4 linked regions of the Struthio camelus genome follow. The protein of the gene in region 1 binds, or shares a complex with, the protein of each later gene. Links are inferred from orthologs where the notes say so. Each region holds a gene or a part of one and is shown in the gene's direction. Other genes may lie near its edges.

Region 1 (6,897 bases):
ATTGTACTCCAACTAACAGGCCTGTAACCATGCATAATTTTCCCCTTTCCCCAAACACAACCTGTAAGTGTGAAGTTGGCTAATCTCCTCCCATGGGCTATCACCTGTAAAATACCAGATGTGGAATTGCAATGTCCTATGAGGGCTAGCCTATACCTTGAGCAAAAATCCTGGAAAAGCCCTGCTGGCCACAGCCTCCCCCTCCATCTTCCCAATTAGGGTTCAAGATGTCATACAACCCAGTACAGGATCTGCTGCTGTGCAAGCGCCTGGGGTTTCGGTGGAGCAAAGAGGAAAAACAAGCCTTGGAGAGGCTCTGTGCTGCTCTGCCGGGCCATCTCAGAGGTTGTCGAGGCTCCTTGCATCTGAAAAGCCATGAGCTGGCCATGTGGAAGGGGTTATGGGCACCCCAGAAGAGTGCAAAATGTATCTAAAGTGCATTTAATATGATTGTAATAATCCCATCGCTCAGATTTAATGTTTTCCATCCCAGAGCTTTACTAACAGTTAGGTAAGCTCTGCAACACCCCCAGATGGCAGATAAAAAATGACTTACAAGGAAGTGAAAAGCAGACACCTCCAGGGGAACATGGCAGCTGCCGAACAATGGACAACAGCACTGCAAAAGCTGGGGAAGGGCGACAAGGAAAAGAAAAATCCCACCTCCAGCTGGGGCCGGAGGGGGTATTTGTAGGCTCACAGCACCAACTCGCTGAAGGAAACCAGAAGAGGAACTCCCTTCCCTAATGAGAAGTCTTGTGGGATTTTTGTTGACCAAAAAAGGCCAGGAAGCTAGCTTTAAGCTAGAGAAAAAGATGCATCCAGTCACTTTGCACCCCTAGTGCTGAGCTGGCCTAAGAGGCTGGTTCTGACATCTTAACTGGCTGTTTGCTTCTTGCAGGGCTCCCCCGTTTAAATAGGCTGTTAATACCGGAATTATTTGGTAATCTACATTAATAACATGGCACACATGGGCTACTTCTTGCCTTAAATACATGACAGCTCAGCTGGGGCGCCAGATGTCTTCCCCGAGAGCGCCCTAGCACGACGTCCTCGATGGACAAAGCCCAGTCTCCAAGGCGTGATCGAGGCCGCTGCATTAGCTTGTTCTTCCAAAGCTGAAGCCCACCCAGCAGAAATCCACGGCGAATCGATCAGAAAAAAAAAAAAAAAAACGTGACCTACGAGGTAGCTTAGCTGGTCTCCAATGATCCAGCGGGATTAGACAGATCAGACCGGCTCGAAACCTAGCGGGTGCAGCACAGGACCAGGAAGCAGGAGCCCCAGGGTTCATTCTCGGCTCTGCTCCTGATTTTTGCACGGCAGGGGACGAATCGCTTCGTTTTTGTGTGCTCCCTTCCCCCCCCCCACGACGAAAGCAGAGCTGGTCTCCTTTGTGAAGCCCTGGGAGATCCCTGGCTGTAGTTAAGGGCTGTGTCAGAGCTGCGGGTATTTGTGTTGTTATCAGATCTCACAGTCGTGCAACAGCCTCCCCAGGGAAGCGATGAAAGACCCGTCGCTGCCAAGGCTGCAAGCCGGGCTGGACGAGGCGGGGGGAGACGCACCACCGAGAACGGCCGAGCGAGCTGGGATCTAACAGGTTTTCTTCCCTCTCGGCTTTTTTTTTTTTTTTCCTCCCCCTTCCTTTCTTCTTTTTTTTTTTCCCCCGTCAGCTTCATAAAAATGGATCTGGCCAGCCCCTCTCCGGCATGCACACGACAAAGAGGCGACTCGCCACCCCCGAAAACGCCCGCGCGGGTCTCCGCTCGCAGCCGCCGCTCCCCAAGGGGCTCCCGCAGCCCGGCCGGCGTCTCCCCCCCCCCTCAAAAACCAGACTTTGCAGCCGCCAGGCTCCGACCTGCTCCCGGGGGTGGTTGGGGGGGGGGGGGACACACACACCCCCGAAATTCCCACCTGGCGGCTCCCCGCGGCATTCCTCCCTCCTCCCCACTCCTGCATCCCTCTCCCCCCCCCGGGTGTTTTCGCTGCCCCCCCCCCCGGGTGTTTTCGCTGCCTTCTCACCTGGGAGCGGAGCTGGCCGCGGATCCCGGCCGGCCAACGCGGCCTCCCGGCCCCGTCGTTGTCGGCCAGCCAAAGCTCACCGCGCGGGAGGGCTTCTCCCCCGGCGGGTCCGGTCCGTCCGGGGGGGGGGGGGGGGGGGGGGCTTCACCGCCTTCCTCCGGGGCTCGGCGAGCCGGAGCCGGAGCCGGAGCCGGAGCCGGAGCCGGAGCCGGAGCCGGAGCCGGAGCCGGAGCCGTTTCCTGGCAGCCCCGGTACCCTCCTCGTCAACCCTTTTATCGACGGGGGGGGGCCGCCGCCGCCGCCGCCGTGATTGGCTCGCGGCTTCGTACCGGCTCCGAGCCGCGTCCCGCCTTTGTGCGAGGCCCCAACCTCGAGGCCGAGCCCCCGCCGAGCCCCTCTGCCGCCGCCGCCCTCCCCGAGCCCCCGGCGGCCTCTCGGCGCTGCCCCGCAGCCCCTCGGCTGCAGAAGGGAGACCCCAGCACCTTTTTATTTGGGGGGGGGGGAAGACCAAAAACTGAGCCGTGAGGGTCTCCGAAACGGGGGTTTGCCCCTCCGGCGGGGCGAGGCGGTCCGCAGAGCAGGCGGCAGGTCTCGGCGGGGCGAGGGACGGGGAGCCGCATCCCGGCGCGGGATGCAGAGGCTGAAGTCCGGAGGGCAGGAATTTCCCCCCCCCCCCCCCCCCCAGCCGGCACCGAAAAAAGCCAACCTTGTTGGCCAAGGAGGCAGCGGGGATGCCGTTTCTCACCGCCGCTGCTTGCGTTGCCCAAATCGCATCTGCCGTGAAACGGCCTGCTGCCACCGCGAGCAAATAAAGGAGGAATTTGACTCGCTAGTAAAATTAGCTGTTGCCAAGCAGAGCCCGACCCAGCGACACGGGTGATCACACGTATCACGCAGCGTGAGCCTGGCAGGGCTGCACAAGGGAAGAGAAGAGCGGCCAAGGCTTGGCCACGCTGCACCAGAAAGCTGCCGTGAGCGAGGAAGGGTGCAGCCCTCCGCCCGGGGCGTGAGGATGGGTGCAGGGCTGGGGTGAGCTTCTCCCTCCCACTCCCCCGTCGCCCCACGAGGAGCCCCCAGAAATAGGCTCCAGTTAAACGCTCTCCACTAGTTCCTGCCTGCAAACTTTGTGCCTCCTCCCCTGCCTGCATGCACACACACACATGCATAGGCACATGCATGCATAAGCACATACACATGCAAATGCACACACATGCATGTGCACACACATGCACATGCATAGGCACATACACATGCAAATGCATGCACTTGCACGTGCACACACACATGCATAGACACATGCATGCATATCCATGTGCACACACGCACGCATAGGCACATACATATGCATGTGCACACACATGCATGGGCACATACACATGCATATGCGTGCACATGCATGTGTACACACATGCACGCAAAGGCACATGCGTATGCACGTGCATGCATGTGTGCACACACATGCATGGGCACATGCACACATAAGCACATGCACATGCATGCACACACATGTGCACATGCATAGGCACACGCACGTGCACATACAGGTGCATGCACACACACACGCACGCACGGGCCCACGCGGACGCGCTGGCTGCCCACGGCCCCGGCGGCGGCAGCCGGCGCCCTCCGCCCCCGGCGGCGGCAGCCGGGCCTCCATCGTCCAGGGCGCCGGGGCCCAGCTCAGCGCCATCGCGCGTTGCTATGGCGACGCGCCCGGCCCCGCTCGCCGCAGAGCCCAGGCTGGGCCCGGCTTTAGCCCCGCCCCGAGCGCCGCCGCCGCCGCTCCCGCCCCGCCTGCGAGGGGCGCCCCCCCCCTCCCGCCCTCCAAGGGGGCCCCGCCCCTGCTCTACGTCACGCGGGGGGGGAGGGAGGGGTCGAGGGCGCCGCGTCCTCCCCGCCCGCAGGGGGCGCTGCGCGCTGCGCGGCGTTGGCGAGCGGCGGCGGCGCAAAATGGCGGACGAGGGCTCCGTGTGCAGCTTCGTGTTCAAGAAGCGGGGCCCGGCGGCGGCCCGCGGGCGGCGCAAGCGGCCGAGCAGCGACCAGGAGCGGGGTGAGGCTGCGGCGCTGAGGGGCCCCGGGGGCCATTGCGTTACGGCGCGGCGGGGAGGGGGGGGGGGTCCCCGCGCCGTGTCAGCGCGGCGGCGAGGCTCCCGCCGCCCCCTCAGCCCTGGGCTTTGCCCCGCAGAGAGCAGCGGCGACGAAGGCAGCACGGTGGTGCGGAAGGAGCGGCGGCGGGACACCCCCAACCCCATGATCCAGAAGGTAAGGGAGCCGCGGCCGCTGCCCCCCCTGCCCGGGCGCCGCCCTGCCCGCCGAGCCCCACGCTGAGCGCTGGGCCCTGCCGTCCTTCACTCCCCCCCCTCCTCTTTCCGCCCCTCAGACCAGGAGAGGCGTCAAGGAAAAGCCCACGTACGCGCTGAGCAGCAGTGACGAGGAGGATCAGGCAAAGGAGATCGGCGTCACTTACAAATCGACGAGGTCGGCGGTAAGGACTGGGCAGGGCTGTGATCCAGGGGTGCCACACCACGCACCAGGCTAGACCAGGCTAGAGAGCGTCTTCCTCCCCGAGTCAACTCGGTCCTGGGTTGTTTGTTTGTTTGTTTTTTTCCTGTAGAGGCACTTCCCTGCCGCTTCACTCGTAATGCTCAAGCGCCTCATGCCAGGTTTATTCTCCTGATACTCTCTGCATCCTCAGGAGGCCATCTGAGGTTGGTCTTTACCCCTTAAATGCGGGAACTAAAACTCCAAGACGTCACTGGACGTGTCCAGCATCACACACAGTTTTCACTAAAAGAGGCGCTTGAACGAGGTTTGCCCCAGTCTTGGGTCCACGTTTTAAGGTTTTGAACCGCTATCCTTCTCAAAAGAATTTTCCGGGTGATTTATAAAGGACTCTTACCTTTGTGCACATAACTAGTGATGGGGTAACAGAGTTATAGAGAGAGGTATTGTTTTCTTGGGAGTGACAGGTGGGGGTCCTGGTAATCCGGTGCCCTAGTTGCACGAGAACAGTACGGTGGAAATAGAGAAAAACTCTAGAAATCCCAAGGAGTTCACTGGAGATGTTTACGTTCCTTCTCCTTCTTCCATAAGCAAGTCGGTTTTGCTGCCAAAGGGGGCAGCATGTTGTCAGCGCTGCTTGCTGTAGGAGAACAGGAATGGTGCAGGAGGAAATGACAGCTTTGGCGCTCCAGGAGCTTTTGGCACATAAATTGGATTCAGTTTTAACTGGGACTGGTTGAAATTGTTCTTCAGTTCCTGTGCAGCTGTTCCTGAAGATCTGACAAAACCAGGAATAGGTGTCTATTTAGTGCATTCCAGAGGAGTTTAAACTAGATCATTGCATTAACTAAAACTGACTGTAAGCCACCCACAGCTAGGTTAAGAATCCAGCCATGACATCCTGTGTGTGGGCTGGATGGTCTCTCGATTAGAGCGTTAGACATGGCACATCCGAGTTCAGTTTCCAACTAAGCCAAAGCTAAGCTTGAAGGAGCAAAATGAGGACAGGTGTTTCCCCTGCTTAGGAGCCATCAGTAATTAGCATTCTGGCCTCTGCAAAAACGAGGCTGGATATGAGTGATCTGGCCCATGGGAGAGTTTCTCAGGCAGGTGCTAAGGGAAGGTGGAAACTGGTGGAAGGTAAAGTGGGCCATGTCCAGGGCTTGGTTACTTCTTGCTCTGAGACTGACCCTCTAAGGAGCTCTTTGTCCTTTTACAAGTTTTCTGTTCACTGTTGTCACGTGTACTTCTTGCTTTTCAGAAACCTGTTGGCCCAGAAGACATGGGGGCCACCGCAGTGTATGAACTGGACACAGAGAAGGAGAAAGATGCCCAGGCCATCTTCGAGCGCAGCCAGAAAATCCAGGAGGTCAGTTAGCATTGCTCTGTAACAGCCAGTGCTCTGCGGCAGGTGTGTGCGTGCTTTATTCATCCCCTTCTCCCGCATGTCAAAAAGTGTTTGAGTCTTGTGGAACTGCTGTGCAGCTCCAGGGCATGTGAGGTGTCTTTGGAAGAAGCAGGTGGTGAGATGGAGCCGCTCAAGTTTAATAGATCTGCAAGTCCGGTCGGTTTGGCACTTAGAGTCCGGCTTGTTTCAGAGGATCAGTGTCTAAGGGAGGTTTGCACCAGGAGGCAAACCAGGACAGAAGTGCCTGGAACAAGAGATGTGTGCATTGTGGCTGGAGTGAAAAAGCACGGACAGCTGCAGTAGGGAGCCAGGCCTCTGCCATCTCCAGTCTCAGGAGCAGCAAGAATTCTTGAAACATGAGCATGAGGAAATCTTCCTCGCCTGGACATTTGAGAGGTGAAGAGTGTTTCCCTTTTAAATAGGGGAGCTTTCTGACTTTACTGGCCTCTTGATGCTAAGGAAGGCAGGGCTGGGAAAGGAGACTGGGGACAGAGAGGTGAAAGCTCATCTGTGACATGAAGCTCTCTTCTTCTGAGTCACTTGACCCTTAATCACCTTTCTTTCCCCTTCCTAGGAGCTGAGAGGGAAGGAGGACGATAAAATCTACCGTGGTATTAACAACTATCAGAAGTACGTGAAGCCCAAGGACACATCAATGGGAAATGCCTCTTCGGGAATGGTCAGGTAGGTTGGGATGAGCCTCAGAGAAGTGGGACCCACAGAGGAGCTCAGGCACCATCCCGAAAGGCACCTTTTGGGGCTTGAACTCTGCTGTTATTACCGCTTGGTTCTATCTAACGAGTCCGGTGTCTGGTTCTGACCAGGCCCCCAGGGGCCTTCTCCACTGCAGCTGCGCACCTGGCCTGAGCCTTCTCCCACCCTTTCAGAAAAGGACCCATCCGTGCGCCAGAGCACTTGCGGGCCACAGTGCGATGGGACTACCAGCCTGACATCTGCAAAGACTA
Region 2 (7,393 bases), on another chromosome or scaffold:
GTTTTCTAACAGGACCCCACAGGGATCCTGTGGTCTCCGCTGTCCCGTTTGTAGCAATGATCCTGAGGCCAATATGAAATCGCACTGAGAAAAACTACAGGTACCATAAAGAATTCCAGATGGCAACTAAGAGGCTGTGCAAGTGACACCAGCAAGGGATTTCTTTTCAAGCCAGATACATTTGAAACAACCAGGAATTCATCTAGGAACAAAGGTCACACAGAACTTTCTAATTCAGAAAACAACGACTTTGAGAAGGATTTAAGAATCACCATGGACATGCCTCTGACCTTGAGCACCCAGTGTAGTGGAGGGTGTGAGGAAAAGGCCAACGAGATCCTTACATATATAAACAACTGTGCAGAAAGCTGAGGGAGGAAAGTGATCTAATCTCTCTAGCCAACACTACTGGGACTGATGTTGAAATACTTCTTATATTTCTAATGTGGATAAATTGGAGAGAGTGCAGGAAAGAACCTTCAAATAATTGGTGAGAGGAAGGAAATGCTTCTAAGAGACTAGAAGAGTCCAGTCTGCTTACTCTATCCAACGACAGTTGCAAGACTACATTACAAAGTATAAATACCTAGTGAGAAAATGGCCTTTTTAAATCAGCAGAGAAAGGCATAGCAGGCACCAGTGGTTGGGAGTAAAGCCAGATAAAACGGAATTAAAAATAAGGTGCATTTTTGAGCCATGAGGATAATTAACTCCTGGAGGACATTCTCAAGGGAAGCGGTGCATTCTCCTGCTTTTCGTGTTTCCATGAAGTACAGAATACCTCTCTAAGACGTGCCACAGCCAAACTGCTCAAACTGAAGGTGCATCCATGGTGCCAGCTACAGGCTACTGTGTGCAAAGGGATCCAAGGCTCATCGTGCCACAGGAAGAAAGCACTCTTTGCCTAGACCTGTTCTGTTCTTACAGCTACCGTGGGAAGGGGGAAGACCTGAGTTTTTGTCCTTATCTGGTTGTTTATTTTATCTGATCATGCTTTAATGTAAAATCGTAGAAACAGGGCCTGGGATCCAGGAACTTGCATTCGCATATGAGAGTTGACTGGTGCTCCCTGTCACACACACACTCTCTCAATTAATCTTTAATTCCTTTCTGCTCAGTGGAGCAGCTTCAAAAAGCGGTAGAGTGTGCCTAAATACCAAAGCCATCTGAGGCTGGATGACTGCTGGGGCAACGGTTCTCCAAATGCGAGGTCAGCCGTACTGGGGACAGGGACAGACCCTGAAGGAAAAGGAGTTATGAGAGGAGAACGGCCCTGAGGCTGCCTCCCTTCCCTCCGTCCCTTCCTGTGTGCAGTGCCAAGCTGAGTGAGATAGGGGCTATGCCACCTTGGCTGTCCCAACGATTCGGGCAAAGCATACTGCTTCTTCATGTACAAGCCCAGACGTGGTAGGGAAATGCAAGAGGAGCTTTGCTTTTCAGCAAAGGTGCAATTATTTTGGGCATCTCCACATAGGCAGGGACCAGCCAGTGTGAGAATAAAGGGTAAGCCACAGCAGAAGTGTGAGCAGATCCTAACATGCACTCACATCTTGAGGGGCTGCAGAAAACTGGCCAGGCAATGAGGCAACTCTGACCAAGTCCTCTGAAATATGACTGCTGCTCGCACAGCCTTCCTCACTGAAGATACAACTCCAGGAGCAAAGGAGGTTTAGAACAAGAGGTCAGTGAGGGGTTTAACACTCTTAAGGTTGTACAGAAAAGCTGAATGATGGGAGCAGGACATTAACCAAAATCTTTGTGACTGGTGGCTGTGAGCCTCTTCTTTAAGGTAGCAGAAGGCTGGGGAGGGAAACGGACCTGGAACTCCCGCTCCACAGGTGAGCACTGTAACCACTAAACTATCACATAAAAGTAGTTGGCTCTCCTACCAACAGTACTATTAAAAAAAAAAAAAAAAAACACTGACCAAAGATATATTTTTTGTCATACTGAGAGGCTGATCATGGTATCCACGAGTGCTGGACATGGTCTGAGAATAGTTACTGGATGAAAGCTCTCTGAGCACTTGAGCTAGGGAATATCTTGTTTCTGGATCCTATCAAGTCTCACTGTGAGCAGGATGCTAAACTTCTTAGACCAAAGGAGTTTAACACTGGACAAAACTCTTTACGTCTGGAGATCTTTAAAATCAAAAGTTGTGGACCTGTGAAGGTTAGATGCTTCCACAGCCTTTGCAGCAAGATCAGGTAGGGATTTTCAGGAGTCTGGACTTAGGCACCTCCATTCCACCAATATCCTACTTTAGCACACAAGTCTTTAAAGGATCCAGCCCTTTGACTCTTAAACACTTTCCTGTCTGTTTGTACTTCACATCTATACACACCCAAGTTAGAGGAAAGGAAGCACCTTGGTGTCGCGGAGGACAACTCTAGTCAAAGACATTAAGTCATTCCTTTCCTTAAAAAATCATTTTATCTACTCGAAGCAGGGATTATCCCAGCATTTGAGCTATGAAACTATGAATAACTCTGAAAATAATATCCATCATCACAGGATAATGCACTAAGCTGACAATCGGAATTCTTGACTCACTACTTGGGAATCTGGACTCCTCTGAGAGGTTTGATCTTGACTCTAAACTGCCTGCAGTGAAATCAATAGTAAAACCATTTCACGGGGTGCAGACTGAGGCTTGCAGATAAGAAAATGCAACAGTGGATGCCTGGCTATTGACAAGCGCAGCTCTTAGGAAGTGACACAGTAATTACTGCTTCTATTTACGTGACTGCTGAGCACAGCCTAAAATTGATGACAAGCTGCCCAAAATATCCTGTGTAAAACCTCTAACGTTATCAGAAAGTATTAGTAAACCTTCTTCTGCTGCCCACCAGAAGGGTAGCTGCCAGCCTGTCCCTTCCTTGGGCCTGGAAAGGCATAGTTGGAGGTGGAAGGGAGCGACCCTGTGCAGGGGGACAAACTCTCGGGAAACTATCCACGGGCTGCCAACAGGAAAAGCAGATAAACACGCCTTTCTCAGTGTGCCTTGTCGTTCATCGGTCAGGGCAAGCAAAAGCAGCAAAGAGAACAAGCCCCCAGAGGCAGGCTGCTCATCCAGGAACCACTTGTCCCCGTCCCAAGCTGCTGCCATCAACCCCAGCGGAAACGGCACGCACCTCACGGAGACACGGCTGCTTTTCAAACTCCCCTGGCACAACCTGAGCAGGGGACAGGGGGTTTCTTTGCCCAAGGGGGCCAGGGTGCTGCCTGGGGCGGGTGCCCCAGTGGGCTGCTCTGCGAGCAGCCCGGCCTCGGGGACCTCTCGAGGGCCTGGCCTGGCCCAGCCCAGCCTGGCATGGCGGGAGAGTAGCTCCCCGGGCAAGCGAGCGTGTCGGTAGCCTGGTACTTCCCACGTCGCCAGGCGAGTCCCAGCAGCCTGACCACGGGATGCGTCTAAAAGCGGCAGTGACGGGAGGAGAGAAAGGGCTGCTGAGGAGACGGCGTCTCTCCACTCACACCCCCAAACTGCAGCCTTTTAACGAGACGGCGAGGCAAATCCTCCTGCAGAGCAGCTGGATCAAGGTGCTGGGCTGGCCCTGGCCCTAACCCTAACACCAACCTCAACTCCCTAACCTCAACCCCAACCCCCTAACCTTCTAACCCCAACCCTCCCAACCTCACCCCCCCATCCTGACTCCCCAGCCCCCCAACCCCCCACCCCAACCCTAACTCTCCAACCCCCTAACCCCCAACCTCACCCCCTAACCACAACCCCCTAACGTCAACCCCTAACCCTCTAACCCCAGCCCCCTAAGCCCCAACCTCAACCCTCTAACCCCAACCCCCCATCCTGACTCCCCAGCCCCCCAACCCCCCACCCCAACCCTAACTCTCCAACCCCCTAACCCCCAACCTCACCCCCTAACCACAACCCCCTAACCTCAACCCCTAACCCTCTAACCCCAGCCCCCTAAGCCCCAACCTCAACCCTCTAACCCCAACCCCCCCAACCCCAGTCCCCTAACCTCAACCCCCTAAGCCCAACCCTCCAACCCCCTAACCCTCTAACTCCAACCCCTTAAGGCCATCCCCCTAAGCCCCTAACCTCAACCCTCTAACCCCAACCCCCTAGTCCCCCAACCCCAGTCCCCTAACCTCAACCCCCTAACCCCAACTCCCTCATCTCAACCCCCAACCCCAATCCCCCTAACCCCAATCTGCCCCGGGGCGCTGAGCCGAGGCGGTAAGGTGGGGGCGACCACCATCGCTACACAGGCAACAGCGAGGCTACCACCACGGCGCCCACTTCCGCCTCGGTAGCCATCATGGCGGGCTCTTGGCTCGCCGCGGTCACGTGGCAGACGCTTTCCTTACGCCGACCCTCTCTATGGTAGGTTCTCTAGCAGCAGCTGCGGCGACTTCCGCTGGGTGTGTCTATGGTTTCCCGCGCGGTGCCTTGTGGGCACTCGGCGGGATTATGGTGGTGGTGTAGGGCTTGTTTGCGCAGGGCGGGTGGAGGCCGCGGTGTAAGTATGTGGGGGAGACGCGGTTCTCGCTGGGGAGGGGGGCGAGATGGCCTGCCAGGGGCCAGGAGTGCGCCTGGGGCGGTCCCTGGGGCGGTCCCTGGGGCAGCGGAGGGGGTAGGGGCCCAGTCCGGATCGGGCCGGGCCCGGTGCGCTAGAGGAGCGGCCGGGCTTCGGCTGGGCCAGGGAGCGCCGCGGCGTGAAGGGGCCTGAGGAAGGGGCGGCTGCGGGGGGGGGGGGGGGGGGGCAGGAGGGAGAGGGCCCGGAGAGAAGAGCGGGGGCGATTTGGGGGATGGCTGTGGTTGGGAAAGAGGGAGAGTGCCCGGGGAGAAGGGTGGAGGGTGATTTGGGGGCAGAGTGAAAGGGTGGCTGTTCAGTGGTCTCTGTGTTCAGCTCTGAGCAGCGTGCCTCGGTACTATTTGGCATAACCTTCCTTTGTGCAGCTCAAACACTGAGTTTAAAATAAAAAGCAGAAGCCTAGTTAGAGCGGTGTAAGAGGCAGGGAGCAAAGTGATGGTGCAGCATTGGTCGTACTGAAATTTTAGATTCTTACGTTGTGATTTCAGGTTTGGGGGCTGTTATGAGTTCCAGTGCTCGTGTTCAGGCTCTGTGGTGAATGTAGTGGGGATGGGTTCAGCAGGATTGTTAGCCGCAGGCATAGTGCTGTACGGGCACGTTCTGTACTGCTGGGGCAGTTCAGCTCCAGGCTTAGTTAGCCCAGCCACTTTCTCTTGGCTTAGCAGTGAGCTGGTAAACCATGCTTGGCCAGTCCTGGCCTCATGTAGTGCTAAAATGGATTTTTCAGTAGGCTGTATTTCTGAAACTTAAGAGTTTCTGAAACTTAAGAGTGCAGTGCAAAGGTCCCTGAGTTCAGGTCTGTTAAGGCCAAGCCAAACTCAGTCTGACCTCAGAAAGAGTCAATGGGGAGCAGGGACAGGTTCCAGAATATTTTTTAGTGTTTCATGAAAGTATACAGCCAGACTAGATCTGGTTCTGCCTCTGAACTAATAAATCCCTGCTGTTACTGATAATTGGTTCAGATAAGACTTGAGAGCAAATGGCTTTCTCAGATTATGGGTCTGGTAGAGTCTGCACTGAGCCAGACCTAAAAGAGCCTGCTGGGCTCCAGGTGACTTGCCCATTGTCACTGATGTGTGTCTGCAGTGGTTGGTCAATGAGCCAAGGCTAGTTACCATGTCAGTATTACCTTCTCACTGCTTTTTAAAGATATTTGTGTCTGTTAACTTTGTCCTGAATAGTAGTTCAGTGGCAGTAATAATGTTCTCTGTGGTGGTATGTTCCTATTCATGTTAAAATTAGAAAACATTTTTGTCACTGAAGTGATGCATTTTCTGGCCCTTTAAAAGTGAAAAATGAACAAAAATGCAGGTACAGCATAAACAAATTACCCTTGTTTGTGATAGCAAAAAAGCGTATCTTATTTTTTCTTCTATTTAATATTGTTTAAAATAATTTCTTGTTGTCCTTTACTATCCAACCTTCCACTTGGTAGGCTGGTGCCTTTATGTATTTCTGCGCATGTCTCTCTCTTGTGTCTTAGGTATCTTTAGTCTGTGGTTAATGGATGTGCATGTCTTTGTGAATCAGAAGTGAGGATAGTTGCAGATAACATATTTGAGATGATGCTGTTTGATCATCCAGGGTTTTTTTGCATTGGTTATCCATCTTAAAATTTTGGTGTAGTGGGGTGGGATTGCAGTGTCCAGCTCCTGTCTGGCAGTTTTGAACGCAGTGCATGCTGACAGGGTCTTTGTGTGGTAGAGGCTGATTTGAGTCTCTTTCACTCCTTTGCCACAGGAGAATTTACAGTAGCGATTCTTGGCCTCAGTTTTTTCATTTTTAGGGACGTGCTGGTGATATGTGGGTTTCTAAATGAGAGCTGCTGAAAACTTCCTTCTTTGCCTGAGCTAGAATACTTTTTTTTTTTTTTTTTTTTTTTTGTAATGTAACAGTAAAGTTGTCAGGCTTCTGCTACCGGAGGAACATTAACCCTGTCACACTTAAAACAAAAACTTTTTTTTCCTGGTCACCTGGAGCTCTGCATAAGTCAGTTCCAAAAAACTGTGCTGCGTTGTTGATGTCAGTGCTGTGCCTGCCCTAAATAGGGCCAGGAGAAGGGCTAGTGCATTCAGGATATGTGACCATCCTAATTTAATTGTCAACACCATTCTGGACATACTGTGGTCCATGTCAACCAGTACTTGCAGTGATGATAGCTGGATACAGTTTGGGTGATAACGGAGGGACTATTTCCAGTAGGCAGTATGAATGAGGCTGTCATTTCTGGGGAGAAGAAAGAGTTAAGTTACGTAGCTGCAGCCTGTGCTGTACCATTTGCCTGGAGGATGGGAGAGAATAACTCATGACCTGTTTTATTTACTTCTAAAACAAAGCCTCAGATTCTCCCTGTGCTTCAACTTTCAGACATGTTGGAAAAGTTTTTCAGTTTTGAAAAACTGAATAGGTTCTGTCAATCGTGTGCCAAATGATAGCTTGTTTTGGGTAGTGGGACTTGTCATTGCTGCTACAGTTCCAGGAACAATGTAGTTTCTAATGAATGGCTTTCATTATAAGCTGTAGTAATGACCCTTTTTTGCGTTTGATTCTATAGTAATTAAAATGACCACAGCAGCAAGGCCAACGTTTGAACCTGCAAGAGGAGGACGAGGAAAAGGAGAAGGAGACTTAAGTCAGCTATCCAAACAATATTCCAGCAGAGATCTTCCTTCTCATACTAAAATCAAATATAGGTAAGTTTTGCTTTTCGTTCTGTGCTCTTGGAAAACAGGCTGGGGAAGGTTTTCTTTTGCAAAAGCTGCTCTGAGGTTTTTCACAATAGATATTCATGTGCTTGACACTGAGCAGACACCAGATAGCGTGCAGCACTGCTA
Region 3 (7,302 bases), on another chromosome or scaffold:
CGGTATCTGTGGTACCAGTTTTGAAGGCATTGATCAGTCGCCTACAGAAGGCGGAAGTAACAGTAAAACAGATTTTTAGAATAACTGCTTCTTGAACTGTTTCCTGAATCTCCTCAGGAGAGCCAAGTCCTTCTGACTCTGACCAATCCAGTGGAGAACATCACACATGTCACGCTGCTGGAGTGCGAGGAGGGAGACCCTGACAATATCAACAGTACTGCCAAGGTATTGTGCCCTCCCTGTTGCACTAACCCAGGCCCTTTCCAAGGCTCTCCACTTCCACCTATCTATCCCTAGGTTGCACCTTTGACATGTGCTTCGGTCCCTGTTGACTGCATTACGTTTGCCTCCTTGGAGGCTTAAATAACTGTCACCAACATAAACGTCATTCTTAGGTAGTAAAATATTTTGCATGTGTGCCTGTTCATTGAGATCCGCAACTCAAGGGAGAAATATACAGTGGCCACTTTGCTGGAGGGGTGGGAACCAGAATGAAAGAGTGGTGGAAAAGCAGAGAATGATTCCCTTTTCTGTTGAGCTTTAGTTAAGCAGCCTTCAGAAGGGAAGGGCTCTCCCCTGCTTGCAGTATGGGTGATGGGCCTCCTCTCTCTCTGCTGTTTCAGGTGGCAGTTCCTCCCAAGGAGCTTATTCTGGCTGGCAAAGATGCTGCAGCAGAATATGATGAGCTGGCAGAGCCTCAAGACTTTCAGGATGACCCTGAGTAAGTGCTGTCTTCCCTGTGTCCATCCTGTACTTAAAACAATTGGCACTTCAGCCAAGTAACGTACTGCTTTTCTGTCTATCTTAAGCATGTCTGTCTCGTTCTGTGTTTTTTGTTGTTGTTTTGGGTTTTTTTGGCAGAGATTAGAAATGCAAATCTTATCTTTTCTGCTTGTGGTTTGGACTATTCAAGAAATATTACCTTACCTGGAGGCAGGGTGTGCTGTTGTAGCAACTGGGTTATAGGTGGCAATACTGATTCTCTCTGTGAAGAGAGAATCTCTCATTTCACAAGAATGCTCTGTGAAATCTTTCCCTTTGCAAGCAAAAGGGTCATAGCAGTGGTGTGAACTACGCAGTAGTACTGTGTGCTACGCAGAGGTCCCTTCAGTCTTCAAAATGGGAAAAGTTCTGTAGCCTCTTACAGAGCTACTTCAATCATGTGTCGTGGCCCTTCTGTATTGCACAACTGGATACGTTAACTCCCGTGACCAAAGCAGAGATGTTCTGTGTGACAGGCGTGCAAACAGTTGCCAGCAGAAAGGGAGGTACACACGTTTCGATCGTGAGGTGGGAGGAGGGACTTGGGGCCCTCTAGGAAGAGAGCAGCAGGGAGTAAGCTACAGGCTGGAGGAATTGTTCTAGTAGGGCAGATTCAGCCCCCAGGCTGTAAACTGAGCATCCCGCTCGTGGTATCGGAATAAATCTTTGCAAAACAAACGTTTGAGAGCTTGGCTGACGCAGTATCCTCTTGTTTTCTGTCCTGCAGCATTATTGCCTTCAGAAAAGCCAATAAGGTAGGAGTTTTCATCAAGGTCACTCCACAGAAAGAGGAGGGCGACGTGACCGTGAGTTTTAAGATGAAGCATGAGTTTAAAAACCTTGCTGCTCCAATCCGGCCCAGTGAGGAAAGCGATCAGAGCTCTGAGGTCATCTGGCTCACCCATCACGTGGAGCTCAGCCTTGGTCCAGTGCTCCCATAAACGCTCCCAACACCTGCATCCCGAGGGCTGGCCACAGGATAGACTGTCACAGTAGAAGAATGCACCCTGATGAGAAGTTCTGTGAGAGATCCTCTATGATGTGTGGATGTGTGCCAGGGACTCCAGCCAAGCCACGAGGAGGAAGCTGCATGGGTGTGGGCAAGGGTACCGTGTTTTTGGATGATTTGTTCTTTTCTCTCCTCTTATTGTAGTGCCCACTAACTACCACTCCGTTTCCCCGCACCACCATGTGCTAGTTTAACTTACAGCACATTTTTCAGCACAGAGAAAGATGTATGTAGCTTTCTCCAGATCTGCACTACACCTAGCTGAATTTTTCTTTATCAACAGAAAAGAACCTATATTGGTCTGTCTTCATCATGTCCTCCCACAAAGCTAATGTTACGTGCTCAGCTATGGAATTCTTCTTTTCCACACAGAGCTATGCCCTTCCTGAGGAAACATTTTAGGAGGTGGCCACGTCTGCTTCATTATAGTCAAGTCTCTCTTGCAGCCGGATGTTGTTTTTTTTTTCTTTTGTTTTCTTCTTCCTAATAGGATCCCTCAAATGTGGGAGACTCGGAGGTACAATTGTTTCTCTTGTTATGAAAAAACACTTTGGCGTGCGTAGCTTGTTTGGCCAAGGTGATAAATCTGTCTTCACAAAGGAAATGATCAGTTTGCCTTTAAACTCAAAACATAGTATACTGTAGTGTTCATGGATTTGACTGGCAACCAGTCCGACTGTAAGCCTGCTGTGTTGCAAGATGGATTGGGTAGCATGATGCTTTACAAATTGGGAATCGGATTCTGATACAGCTCTTTACTGAGGCAAGGATGTCTCTGAGAGGTTGCCTGGCAGTCTTCATATCAATAAAATTGTGTTAATGGGGATAGCAACCAGAGAGTATGAAATTTGGAGAGTTAAGATTAGGACCGGTATACATAAAACTCCACGGGGTGTTCAAGTTCATACTTAGTCTTTTTCCTGCTATAGGAGGGTGAGGAAAAATGCAAAGGAGGAAATACTGTTATACTTTAACTAGCCTATACTACACCATTATAAAAAGATAACTTATCCATGGTGTAACCAGGGTGTAGTTTGGCTGCAGTCCAAGCTAAAAACGGTAACCAAGAGCAGTGTACCCCTGATACCAGATACCAGTAGCTACAATAGCATAGTGCAGGCCGGCAAGATTCCTCTTCCTGCTGGGACTTCAGTTGCGTTCCCAATTCAGGCGTTAACCTTTGTTAAACACTTCTGGTGGTCTTTAACATGATGGTGATATTGGGAAAGGCTGAAATACCAGTCAGTTACGGTTTTATTGCTTGAGACTTAAGACACGGTTCTGCCAGTCTAAAGTTGCAATGCCTCTGTATGAGAGGGAGGGATCGTGCTGCCCCCCTCTCCTAGGGAAGTAACGATGCAGCAAATAGGGCTTGGTGCGCCTAAAAATGCGTCTTGCTTAAAGGAAGAAACCTGCCTGTGGGTGGCCAGAGGGTTGGACTTGACAGCTCTGCAGGGGAAGCACGCCTTATCCCCATTGTGCAATGGGTCTCAAAGCAGCGAGGCTTCATGTTTACAGGTTTGCGTAGGCCCTACACAGACATACAGCATGAGTTTAAGAAGTGTAGTTTGTATTTATTCTTCATGTATAGTGTTAGTGTCTGCTGCTGTTTTACCTTTCAAGATAACAAAACACTTAAGCTTTGGCCATGAGTTCTCTTCTTTAGCCAAATAGCTGGCACCCCTTGCAACACTAACGAGGACGAGCAGGCTTTGGGACGAGCGTTGGCTGACGAGGCCTGTTGACCTGCAGCTCGTGGTCCCTCTGGTGAAAGAGGAATTTGAAACTGGGATTTTGCTGTATTTGGTGGGTTCTTTGGCTGTTATTTATGTTATAGGAAAATAAGATGTACTTGTGGGCTCTCAGTCGCTAGTTTGAAAGCTAAAGGGTGTGTTGACTTTTTTCTCTCTAACTAGTCCGGTGCATTTTCTTCTCCCTTTAGACGCTTATAGGAGCTAGGAGTAGCGTTCGCTGTGTCTTTACGTCTGTCTGTGCGGAAGCGCCTGGCCGCGCTCTGCCTCTGTCGGTGTCTGCCCCTTACAGACGGGCGCCTGCGTTGCCTTACTGCTTAATTTCATGTAGTGAACTTCAATAAAGCAAAGTTGCCTCTCTGCTGCTTTTGCCCTGGTGCTGCTTACTCTGCCCTCAGAAAAAAAGGTTCCTCTTGGCGTGTCCGACCCGGCTTCCCCCCCCCCCCCCCGCCCTCCGCAAGGGGTCCGGCCGGCCCCAAAAACCCCCCCGCAAGGGGTCCGGCCGGCCCCACAACCCCTCCCCCGCCCTCCGCAAGGGGTCCGGCCGGCCCCACAACCCTCCCCCGCCCTCCGCAAGGGGTCCGGCCGGCCCCACAACCCTCCCCCGCCCTCCGCAAGGGGTCCGGCCGGCCCCACAACCCCCTCTGCCTTCTCCGCCACGCTCCCACGGCTGTGAGCTGGGCTCTATAGTTTGCAGTGCCTAGAGCGTCCCTACGGTGCGACACTCTGGCGCCCTCCCGCCCTCACCTCCTTCCTCACTCTTTGCTTCCCCCGCCCTCAGAGGAGCGTCGCTGGTGCAGGTGGCGAACGCTTCCGGCCCCGCTGCCTGCCGGGACGGAGGCGGAGCGGCGCGAGGGCTTCCGGCGGCGGCGGGTTGCGGAACGGGGGCGTCCGCCATGTCGACGTCGCTGGGCTCCAACACCTACAACCGGCAGAACTGGGAGGACGCGGTGAGCGGGGGCGCGGCCGGGGGGCGCGGGGAGCCGCTGCCGCCGGGCGAGGGGCTCCGCGGTGGCCCTGGCCCCCGCGGCCGGGCAGCTCGGCGCTGCGGCGCTGGCGCGGCCGGGAGCCGGGGAGGTCTGCGGGCGCTGGCGGGCTCGGCCGGGCCTCCCCGGCGGCCGCGGCCCTGCTCGCTCCAGCCGCGGCCCTTTCGGGGCGGGCGCCGAGGGGCTCTGCTGGGGCCCGGCCCCGGGAGCTGAGCCCTCCGAAACGGGCGCTTCGGGCAGGAAGAGCCGGCGGGTCGCGGCTGTCGCGCGTTGCGGGGCTCCCGTGGGGCCGCTCTCGTGTCCTTCGGTCTGACGGGTTGGACTTGGCTGCGCTGAGTACAGGAGCTGACCTGAACGCTGTTGTGATGAGAGAGAGAATCTGCGGCTAATTCTTGATTTATTTATTTATCTTTTGTATACCCCCTTCCTGATCGTTTCAGGACTTCCCTATCCTGTGCCAAACATGTCTTGGAGAAAACCCGTATATTCGAATGGTATGTGCCTGTTTGACACTGCGGTCCTTCGCTTTTTTTTTTTTTTGTGTTGGTGGCTGTAGAGCTGTTGGGTTTTGAGGGCTAGAATAAACTAGAATAATAAAAGAGGAGATGTTGAGATGCACTTGAACTCTGAATTCGTTAATTCGGCACCACAAAACTTGATTCCTGCTATTTTTGTATGCCCTGCCATGACTTAGGGTGCATGATTTAAGAGTCAACCAGTCAATAACACGAGCAGAGAATAAGACAACGTTGTCTTAATGCCTAAAGCACAGGCAATACTAGAAATTAAACCTTTGGTGCTGTTAAATTTTGTGATGATGAGTGAGATGCGGAAACGTTAAATAAATGCATACAATTTCTAGAATGGGCAGGATACCCACCTGTAAAAACTAGTTTAAAATTGTCTTATGAGGGTTGCTTGACAGTAATTCAAATCCTTGTTCTTTTACCTTGGCTTCTTCAGTAGAAGATGAATCAATCCATTTTATATCACCTTTCTGTGGACTTAGTCTAGTTGTGTATGATGTAAACTTAGATCAAGTGTCTTCCCTTAACTGTTTCCTTTCTACCAAGATTACTGGAAGTCTTTTGTGAATTTTTTTGTAAATTATTGACTCCCGGTATAGATTATACTTCAAAAATGGCTTATTTTTTGTTTTTTTGTCTTGTTCTGTTCATCTGCCAAGGACTATCCTGACTGAGTTGAAACCATGGCGGTGAACAAGTCTAAATGCAGAATAAGAGGAGAAAAAACACTGGGTTGTAATTTTGATGATATTATATATGGGGGAGAGTTTGACGTTGAACAAAATAACGTCTTACATTTTATTTTACTGTTTCTGATTACATTTCAGACCAAAGAGAAATATGGAAAAGAATGCAAGGTATGTTTGTTGTCTTTTGAAAAACTGACTTCTAAACTGCTGCACATCTATGAGTAGTAAATATTTATGTTAAAAAAATTGTGAGCTTCAGAAAAGTGTTTATCTGGGTTAACAAGTTAATGTGTTTGTTTAACTGCATAAGTTTTTGCATCAATCTACCATATGTTTTATTAGACAAAATCAGTTAACAAGACTAAAACTCCTGAAGTCTGTGTTTTTAGGATTTGCCCTCAGTGTTTTTAAGATATATTTTCAATATGTTTTCCTCATATTGGTTGTGCTATATTCAAAGGTATTTCACAGCATTTCAAATGATCTCATGTTTTCTGTTTTAGGTTCATATTTGCTCTAACTGAGGTTTAGTTTTTGGTGTGAATAAGTTATTCCTGCCCATGTAGTGATTTGTGTTAGCTATTTAAGAAGTAAGCTCGATTTATTTCTAACAGAGAGCAAAAAGCATTTAGTGCTGTCTTTTGGAAATGTAAAATAGAATGCTTTGTCTTGACTTGGAGAACTTTTTTTTTCTTTTTCCTTTTTTTTTTCTTTTACCAATTGTCAGCTGAGTTAGGAAGAAGGCGTGTGTTGAAATCTTCCTCAAATTGTGCATACACTGAAAGCAGATGCATCTTTCCAACAGATATCATAGAGGGCAGTATTTTTTTTTTCTGGATCAAAAATTCTTTCATCTTTCACTGGCCTTGCTCTTTGCCAGTGGGTGTTCAATTTAGGAACCGTTGGTAATTTGCCTCTTACAGCTCTGTGGTGACATCTCCCGGAATAAAGAAGAATTTCTTTTCCTTTGTATAGGTTTGCTTTCAGTATTCAAATATTGTACCAAACCAAAAAAATCCTTCCAAAAACTTTCTCCTGTCAAAAAAAGATACCAAAGACAAACAATTATTTCATGAGCTCATAAGTTGGTTTATCTGGATCTTTTCATTAAGATGATGAAGAAAGACTCATGGTTGAAAGAGATTTGTTGTGTTTGGCCTTTCCTTGTAAGAACTTGAATGGTAATTTCATTGCGCTGTAACAATGATCCGAGTCTCTGCTTTCTGTCTTTCAGATCTGTGCTAGGCCTTTCACAGTATTTCGCTGGTGCCCTGGTGTTCGTATGCGTTTTAAGAAAACAGAAGTATGTCAAACGTGCAGCAAGCTCAAGAATGTCTGTCAAACTTGTCTGCTTGACCTGGAATATGGTGTGTACCAAAAAAAAAAAAAAAACTGAAATAAGAAGCAGTTCTGCTTGCCTGTCCTAGTTGGTGAAATGTCTTTAAACATATGCTTGTAACTGCGTGGTTGTCTCTGTCTCTTGACAGACTTTGAGGAGAGCAAGTCTCAGAGATCAAATCCATTCTGAGGTTCAGGGATGCATTTGGTGTATAGTACACCTGAGCAGTAAATAAGTCA
Region 4 (7,502 bases), on another chromosome or scaffold:
AGAATGACTGTGGAGAGAAGAGAACTATGAACTAGGATGAAGTTTACCCGAGTTAATCTAGTTAATCCTTGCTAGCAAAGGCCTGCATGAGTTAAGAGATCTAGTTATGGGCTAAGAGGTCTCTCCTTTAGTTCACTGGTAATAGGACAAGATTTCCTGCTCTAAATCATCAGTTCAAATACGCTCCTGGTCAGTTCTTATAGTCTCCATCCAGTGGCTATTCAGCTTCCTGCATGAAGGAAGTCGGACCGGTTTGTAGTGGGCAGGAGCCTGCATCAGAAAAGCTATTGCCTGAATAGGCACTCGTGGGCCCCCTTGTTAGCGATCTCGAAGAGGCCAAGCTCTGAACGGACATGGAGACTGAGTTCCCCTCTCACCTCTAAAGGTGGTTCCTCCAGGTCAAGGTTGAGGCACGGTGGTGGGGGAAGTGTGGAAGCTAGCACTGCCGCTGCCCAGGCTGTCTGTACCTGTTCTGTAGATAAATAGAGGGCTTCAGTCTCCGAGGCTGTCAAATAGGCTGGAACCTTTCTTGAACACTAAATGAAAACTCTTCTTTAAGAGTTCATATTATGGAATCAAAGATGGAAAATATCTGGGATCATATCTAGCCTCGCCTTGAGAACTGATTCATGGCCAGTTTTGGCAATAGGCAAATCTGGTTTACAGCAACTGTGGTTAATGCTCAGTAACACAGCAAAGCTTTTATAGCATGATACACAGGGCTCACTTTTAACACTGCGTGCTGTTTCCCAGTGAATAGGAATGCTAACCTGGTTTTTGTAGCCCTTGTCCACGCCAAGTGTCTGGGTGCAAAATTTATGCTTAACACCAAAGTGTCGCATAAGGTAAGCCAGGTCAATGGTCCAGATACTCTTTGTTAACCGGAGTTCCTGGATCGCTTTCTGAAATTCATCATTGTCCAAATGATTCAGGTACCTAGGGTATTAGAAAAGGTAGGGGAAGGGAAACACAGATCTTAGGAGAAGCAAAGTGTGCGCAGTAGCCCAAGACTCCACATCACAGGACGGAAGAACTGAAACAACGGGACTGGCTAAGAAATAACCAAAAAGCAACCCACAAATGAGCCCAAAATTAAAGGAAGGGAAGGGAATAAGGAATATTTAACTGGCTTTATTGTTGACTTTTTTATTGGAAATGTACAGGTATCTCAATTGTTTTATAGTGCTAAAAGTATACAGGATGCTGTACAATAGGTAAGCTATAGTGAGCAAGGGCAGAACTCTATTCTGAAGGGGTTACAGTCTGAATATACATAGCAACATAACAGCAAGCACAGGAGCGTTAAAGACTAAAACTTGCTTCACAGAACAGGTGGATTTCAAAAGTAGGAACTGTAAAGGCAGTTGATAAATAGTCAAAGGAATTTTCTTAGGCACTGATGGTGCAAAGGGCAGATAAGGTTAGGAGGAAGCTTAGGTCAGGTTGCAAAAGGGCTAGGGAGAGGCAGTTACAGAGAATTCTGGAAGTCAGAAAACAGATGGAAATAAATGCAAAAAAGAAAAAGACTGGAACTGAGGAAGCAGGGCAAACAAGGTCAGATCAGCAGGGTAAGAAGATTAATCTTGAAAGCTGAGTTTTGGGCAGACTGGAATGGCAACGAGGGTAAAGGGAATGAAGAGGCAGAGGTTACAGTAGTCAAGATGGGAAATTACCAGCACACGGACTAACGTCTTGGCAGTAGGGATGGAGAGAAATGAAAATCTTCTGCTTCATATCTACTAAGTGGACATCTAAATAGGTATTTCTCCTGCACCTAAGCTCATGTTCCTCTGTGGAAGGAAAGAGGAGTTCAGCAGGACAGCTACTAGTTTAAAGAAAAAAAAAAAAAAAAGGGCAATACAGTGCATAGCCTTGAAGTTGAAACTACTCCTGGAACAGAAACCCTTCACCCTACAGAGTGGGGGCTCAACAGGACAGGGGCAATATATATTCATAAATACGGGATAAACCTACCAGCCACTTGAAAACACGCAGAATGGAAGTAAGAGAATTGCTGTGGTAAAAGCTAGTTCCAAATTATAACAGAAAAGAGGGATAACTTTTACTAGCTTAAGCATGCTAACCTGCAAAGATCTTAGTGCTAGTCAGATATTTTGCATCAATCAAAGCAGTTAATCATTTAAAAAGTCTTAAAATTTGTCCTAGTTTGTATTTTCCCTTGCTCTTGCTGGAGAGCTGTGCTAGACCCTGGCAGCAGTAATCCTCCAAAGGTACTTGAGACTATATGCTCTCACGATACTGAAGTTAAATTCACAGCTGCTTCCACATATCCTTTCTCCCTGGACATTGATTTCCGACTTCCCATGGGATGGGATTTCCAACCCCTTGAAGCCAAAAAAGTTACTTACTGTAGTACCATCCTGGAGCAGGCTAGCCCACAGTCCCAGTGGTACAGCTGCTGGATGACTGGCACTTTCAACTGGATGCAGTCAACTGCAGTGAAAACAACACTTAGTAAAACATGGAGGATGTCAACCCGCATATACATGTTTTTCCGTACCTCAGCATTCAAAGCCAATTTGCTGTCTTGCAGGTACACTCAGCACTATAGTGGGGGAAACTTAGGAACATTTTTTATTTTACCTGATTGGCAGGTCCTTTTTCCTAAGGGGATGTAGGTTTGTTTGGTATTTCTGTAGAGTTAACCCTCACGTGTCTGGTTTAATGTCATATTATTGTTACATATTTGGATCACTGTGCAGTATTTTATTCTTTTTTGTGGTGGTGACACATCCACCAGCCCCTAGTTACAAAGCTGTATCCCCTCCTAACTAGCAGTAGATAAGGCACAGCTATTCATCCTTTGTCATGTGTCCAAAACAGTCTCTGAATGTACTTCTGTGCCACAAAAGGTGTTCAGCCAGACTGTGATAAAACAGACACAACAAAGATCTCCTCCAGCCACCTCTCTCTCACAAGCCCCACAGAGCTGAGCCTTTTCTACAGATGTGTCTTTTTTCCTCAGGGACTATAATTTATGTGAGTAATTTTAAGTTACCGAACCTTACAAATGACACTAGTTGGCCTTTCGTGTTATATTCTCTCAAGGTTTCAGAAAAAGAAAGAAGAAAAATCTCTACTGGAAAGTCCATAATTCCATCTTTCTTCCTCATTTTTCATTTTTATAGGCTTGGGGCAAGTGTGATGGTTTCAGTCTCAGAAGACCCATTATCGTTTGAATTTGAATGACTTAGTGTTTTTGCAGGTGTTACTGTTATTTCAACCTTAATCAGAGTAAGCTAGTCTTAAAGGGCTTTTCTCAATCCCTTCACTTTTGACTAGAAAAGACCTTTGAAAGCTGTTAACACAAGGTCAACTACACTTCGGCATGAAGATAAAAATGCATTCCACATCATGTGGACTGGTCTAGTTTTGATAAAATTTTATTTGTAAAACTTTATAAGTAATGTCATTCGTAACAATAATTTTGTATTATTTCCTAACAAAGCTATAGCCTACAGTAGGCACAAGCCAATATAGATATTTTGGACTCTTCAAAAATATTTTTTCGTAGTTGTGCCCGTGTTTAATCGTGACTTCGAAGACCAGGTATACCTGCTGGTATATTCAGTTGTCTTTGTTAATCTAGATTAAGGTGCTCTTACGTAAGTCTCCTAAAGGGAAAACAAAAAGTCCCAGATCCTCCTCGGACTACCCTCTTTAAATCTTTATTGTTGGTTCTTCCCGGCGTGTCATGAGTCAGTTCCCTCTTCGTTCCTACCTAGGGCCTCTGCCAGCTCCCCAGGTTAATTTAAGAAGTAACGCTGTTTTCTGCCTGATGACTTCACAGACCGACAACGGCTCGTGCTTTTCCAGTTCTCCCGGGTGTCCAGCTCCCGGCCCCGCGGCCTCTCCCGGCGGGGCCTCCCCGCTGCCCCGAGGCGGCCGCCCGCGCCCCCGCCCGCGGCCGCCCCGCCGGCTCCGCGCCTCCGGCCGCCCCGCCAGCGCCGCCGCCAGCGCGCGAGGCCCCGGCTCCCGCTCCCGCTCCCGCTCCGCCGCCCGCGCTCAGCGCCCCGCCGGGGCCGGGGTGGGCGCGGGGGGCGGCCGGGCCTCGGGGCAGCAGGGGCGCACTGACCTGGCAGCGGCTCCCCGGCCTCCCGCGGGCTCTTCATGGCGGCGACGGCGGCGGCACCCGCCGCCCGCCCGCTCGCTGCCGGCCCCGCCGAGCCGGCCCGGCCCAGGGGCCCGCCGTGCCTCGGCGCCGCGCTGGCTCCGCCCGGCCCCGGCGCCGGGGGCGGGGGCTGCGGGGGCGGGGGGCCGGGCCCCGGGGCGCCGCGCCCTCGCCGCGGCGGGGCCGGCTGCGGCCGGGCGGCGGGGGCATGGCGCGGCGCGGCTCGGCGCGGCTCGCCGGGCGGGCAGCGCCCGCGGCGGCGGCGGCCCCTCTGCGGGCGCGGGCGGCGGCGGAACCGTCGTGCCGGGGCGCCGCGGCCCGGCCGGCCCCGCGCGCCGGAGGCGCCGCCTGCCCTGCCGGGGCGGGGCGGGGCGGGGCGGGCCGGACGGGACGGGGAGGAGCCTCCCGGCGAGCGCCGCTTTCCGCTTCCGGCGCGCGGGGCACGGCGGGAAGCTGGAGGAGGCCATTAGGGGCTGCGCGCGGGCCCGGCTTGAGGCGGTTGCGGGCGGTGAGTGGTGGTGGGCGCCGGGCCGGCCCCGGGGCCTCTTGGCTATGGCTGGCGACGAGGCCGCGGGCCCGGGGCGCCGTCCGGGCCCGGGCCGCCTCCTTCCCCCCTCGTGGTAGTGCCCGCTGCCCTGGCGCGGGACCCGTGGGCCCGGCCCGGCCCGGCTGCCGCGCTGCTGCCGCCGGGCCGCGCTTGCGAGCGGCCCCGGTGCCGCCGCCGCCCCTGCCTGCGCCGGCGGTTCGGTGTCCTCCAGCTGGGGAGCGGGTTTCCTTTCCCTTTCCTAGCAGGGAACCCGTAGGCAGCCACTTCCACTGATATTTAAGTGATTTTTTTTTTTCCCATAGCCCTCTTTCTAGAGGAGCTTTGTTAACGTTTCATCAAAACTTGTGGTGTTTCTGGGCAAGGGGGAACCCCCCTTCCCCCCCCCCCCCCCCCGTTTCTTACGCTTGAAAAGATCATAGGTAATGTAGGGAGAACCTAATTTCAAAGACCGTTTCCTTTGCTTTTCCTTGTCCCAGGGGTAGAGCCGCAGCTCTGCAGACATGTCGATCGGCGTGCCCATCAAAGTCCTGCACGAGGCGGAAGGCCACATCGTCACATGTGAGACCAACACAGGAGAAGTCTATCGGGGCAAGCTTATCGAAGCTGAAGACAACATGAACTGTCAGGTATAGCTGCCTCTGGTGGAGGGAAGGGAGGCTGTCTCGTCTGTGCCAGGAAAGGTTGATAGCTAGCTTATTTGTGTTTTGATTTAAAGACTATTATTTTTAGTCTAAGGATTAAAAAAAAAAAAAACCCTGCTGCTGCATGCCTACGTTGTAGTGAAGTGGACTCAGGATTGCTGAATGCTCTAAAGAGCGCAGAGTTTGTTCTTTTAGGGTTTAAAGCAGGCCTGGGAAGTCTTGTCAATAGCATTAGGGTTTTTTAAGACTTTGTTCTATGGACAGTGTTTCTACTGGAGTCTTTCATTTTATTGCTCTGGGCTTAAGATTAAACAAACCCTTATTTGAGGAAACTGAAGGGGTTTTTTGTGTTTTTTTTAATGCACATGACTTCAGGCATCCCAAGCGGGCTTAATTTTGGTTGACTTTGGATAGAAATCATGTTGTCTTAAGTATTAAGGAAGCATTTTTATTTGAACAAGTAAAGCTTTTTTAAAAGTGACTTAATGTGAGAAAACAGAACTGAGTTGTGTTTTTCTAAGAGTTTGTTCTGGCTCATACTGGGGTGAAGATAAAAACGCTGGGCCTGCTTGACTAATAGGCTTAGCATTATGTGCGAAAGGTCCTGGATACCTTGTGTCACAATGCCAGTCAAGATGACAGTACTTGGAAGGTTCTTGGCTTTGGTACTTGAATCTTGGCTCTGTGTTTGTTTGCACTGTTTTGTAAGTAAACTATGCAATTTTTCTGCTCTGTTGCTGTATTTTGCTTATGTGTATTCCTCTAAATCAGTTGCATACTGTATATTGTGATTAGCCAAAGAAAATCAGATGTAACTTACTCTGATTGTGTAACAAAGAAGCATACAAACACAAGTGAGATAAAAATTGCATGTACAGTAGTGTCTTTTTTATTAGAATAATCATGGTTAATGTGCTTTTGGTTTTTTTTGTGCCTGCGTAGTTGGTATTCTGCTGATGCAAGCCTGTCAACTTGCTGCAACTTCTGAAAAGCTTCCATTGGCTCTAAAAATCTCAAAACGGACCTAGAAAGGCTTTCTGTTGAAACGACTAGTACTTGACCCAGATAGTTTTTACTCGGAGGAGTCTGAGTCAGAATAGTGAAAGCAAGAGAAACGGGAATACTGAATTGTGTTGGAGGCCTCTGTAAGCACTGACTGATCTTTTACCTTCCAGATGTCCAACATAACAGTGACGTACAGAGATGGACGAGTGGCACAGCTTGAACAGGTGTACATCAGAGGTAGCAAGATACGGTTTCTCATTTTACCAGATATGTTGAAGAATGCTCCTATGTTAAAGAGCATGAAGAATAAAAACCAGGGTTCTGGTGCTGGGCGAGGAAAAGCAGCTATTCTCAAAGCTCAAGGTGGGTACTCCTTGTTTGTGGACCTCCCTCCTTCCTTGCCTTTAGCGTTTTGCTATGGAGGAACAGGAAAATGTTCACCTATATCATTGAGGAAACAAACAACATAAGCAGAATGATTAGTGGTTCATATATTGTTGGGGTTTTTTTTCCTCCTATGTATTTTTTCTTCAGTGGGTGTCAAGACTCAAATTTCCCAATTATCAAAATGAGCAATACTGATATGTGAAGATAATTTACACGTAGCAAGTAGTCCTGGTAGAGTTATACTGAGGCTTTACATTCATCTTCATTTTGGTGTTTTTCAGTGAATGTGGTCACTGGCTGTTTGGACCACTTGGAAAAGGAGCTAAGTGTTCTTCTTAAGCTTTTGTGGAAAAAATGATTCAGATATTAAGATAATACTTGGGAAGTTGTAACTACTAGCCACTCTACAGTTCTCCCTCATTAGCACTTCTCTTATGTGAGCAGTGTAGTTATAACAAGTTTGAGTAATACTCGTGGGCTGCAAAGTCCTTCGTTAACTTTAGCAAGTGTAGTGAGTGTGCGTGGGGGAGTAACACCTGCTGGAACATATTGAGTTCTGTTGCAAAATCTTAGTGTGAGGTTTTAAACATCAGTGAAATCTCTGGCACAGCAACTCTACCATGATAGAAATCTCCTGTGGTAGAGATTTGTGCGTCAGATTGGAATGAACACAGAATGTATTAATAGTTCATTCTCATCTCTGTATATACTGTGTTTCAAGTGCAAGACTGTGTAACAATTCGTCCTGGTTCTTCTCACAGAACGCTTTTTTTTTTTTTTTTGTGGTAAA

Evidence for each region.
Region 2: RNF113A (region 1) and CWC15 share a complex: the UniProt entries of both Homo sapiens proteins name them as parts of the minor spliceosome. The link is inferred for Struthio camelus from reciprocal best matches to the Homo sapiens genes RNF113A and CWC15.
Region 3: RNF113A (region 1) and RBM22 share a complex: the UniProt entries of both Homo sapiens proteins name them as parts of the pre-catalytic and catalytic spliceosome complex. The link is inferred for Struthio camelus from reciprocal best matches to the Homo sapiens genes RNF113A and RBM22.
Region 4: RNF113A (region 1) and SNRPD3 share a complex: the UniProt entries of both Homo sapiens proteins name them as parts of the minor spliceosome. The link is inferred for Struthio camelus from reciprocal best matches to the Homo sapiens genes RNF113A and SNRPD3.

Annotation. Positions count from the first base shown.
Region 1 is NC_090966.1:4,277,779-4,284,675, forward strand, and holds the start of RNF113A (E3 ubiquitin-protein ligase RNF113A), read left to right. Parts: upstream 1-3,878; 5' UTR 3,879-3,972; coding exon 3,973-4,072; intron 4,073-4,207; coding exon 4,208-4,284; intron 4,285-4,402; coding exon 4,403-4,507; intron 4,508-5,785; coding exon 5,786-5,893; intron 5,894-6,506; coding exon 6,507-6,616; intron 6,617-6,819; coding exon 6,820-6,897. UniProt on the Homo sapiens protein: Required for pre-mRNA splicing as component of the spliceosome. As a component of the minor spliceosome, involved in the splicing of U12-type introns in pre-mRNAs. E3 ubiquitin-protein ligase that catalyzes the transfer of ubiquitin onto target proteins.
Region 2 is NC_090942.1:211,881,787-211,889,179, forward strand, and holds the start of CWC15 (spliceosome-associated protein CWC15 homolog), read left to right. Parts: upstream 1-4,385; 5' UTR 4,386-4,394; coding exon 4,395-4,488; intron 4,489-7,113; coding exon 7,114-7,252; intron 7,253-7,393. UniProt on the Homo sapiens protein: Involved in pre-mRNA splicing as component of the spliceosome. Component of the PRP19-CDC5L complex that forms an integral part of the spliceosome and is required for activating pre-mRNA splicing.
Region 3 is NC_090954.1:13,415,701-13,423,002, forward strand, and holds the start of RBM22 (pre-mRNA-splicing factor RBM22), read left to right. Parts: upstream 1-4,300; 5' UTR 4,301-4,418; coding exon 4,419-4,472; intron 4,473-4,948; coding exon 4,949-5,002; intron 5,003-5,862; coding exon 5,863-5,892; intron 5,893-6,958; coding exon 6,959-7,091; intron 7,092-7,302. Other genes in the region: DCTN4 (dynactin subunit 4), read left to right, coding at 118-225, 624-721, 1,490-1,703. UniProt on the Homo sapiens protein: Required for pre-mRNA splicing as component of the activated spliceosome. Involved in the first step of pre-mRNA splicing.
Region 4 is NC_090958.1:8,968,542-8,976,043, forward strand, and holds the start of SNRPD3 (small nuclear ribonucleoprotein Sm D3), read left to right. Parts: upstream 1-4,500; 5' UTR 4,501-4,640; intron 4,641-5,155; 5' UTR 5,156-5,179; coding exon 5,180-5,305; intron 5,306-6,495; coding exon 6,496-6,688; intron 6,689-7,502. Other genes in the region: protein GUCD1, read right to left, coding at 1-7, 771-936, 2,370-2,454, 4,097-4,133. UniProt on the Homo sapiens protein: Plays a role in pre-mRNA splicing as a core component of the spliceosomal U1, U2, U4 and U5 small nuclear ribonucleoproteins (snRNPs), the building blocks of the spliceosome.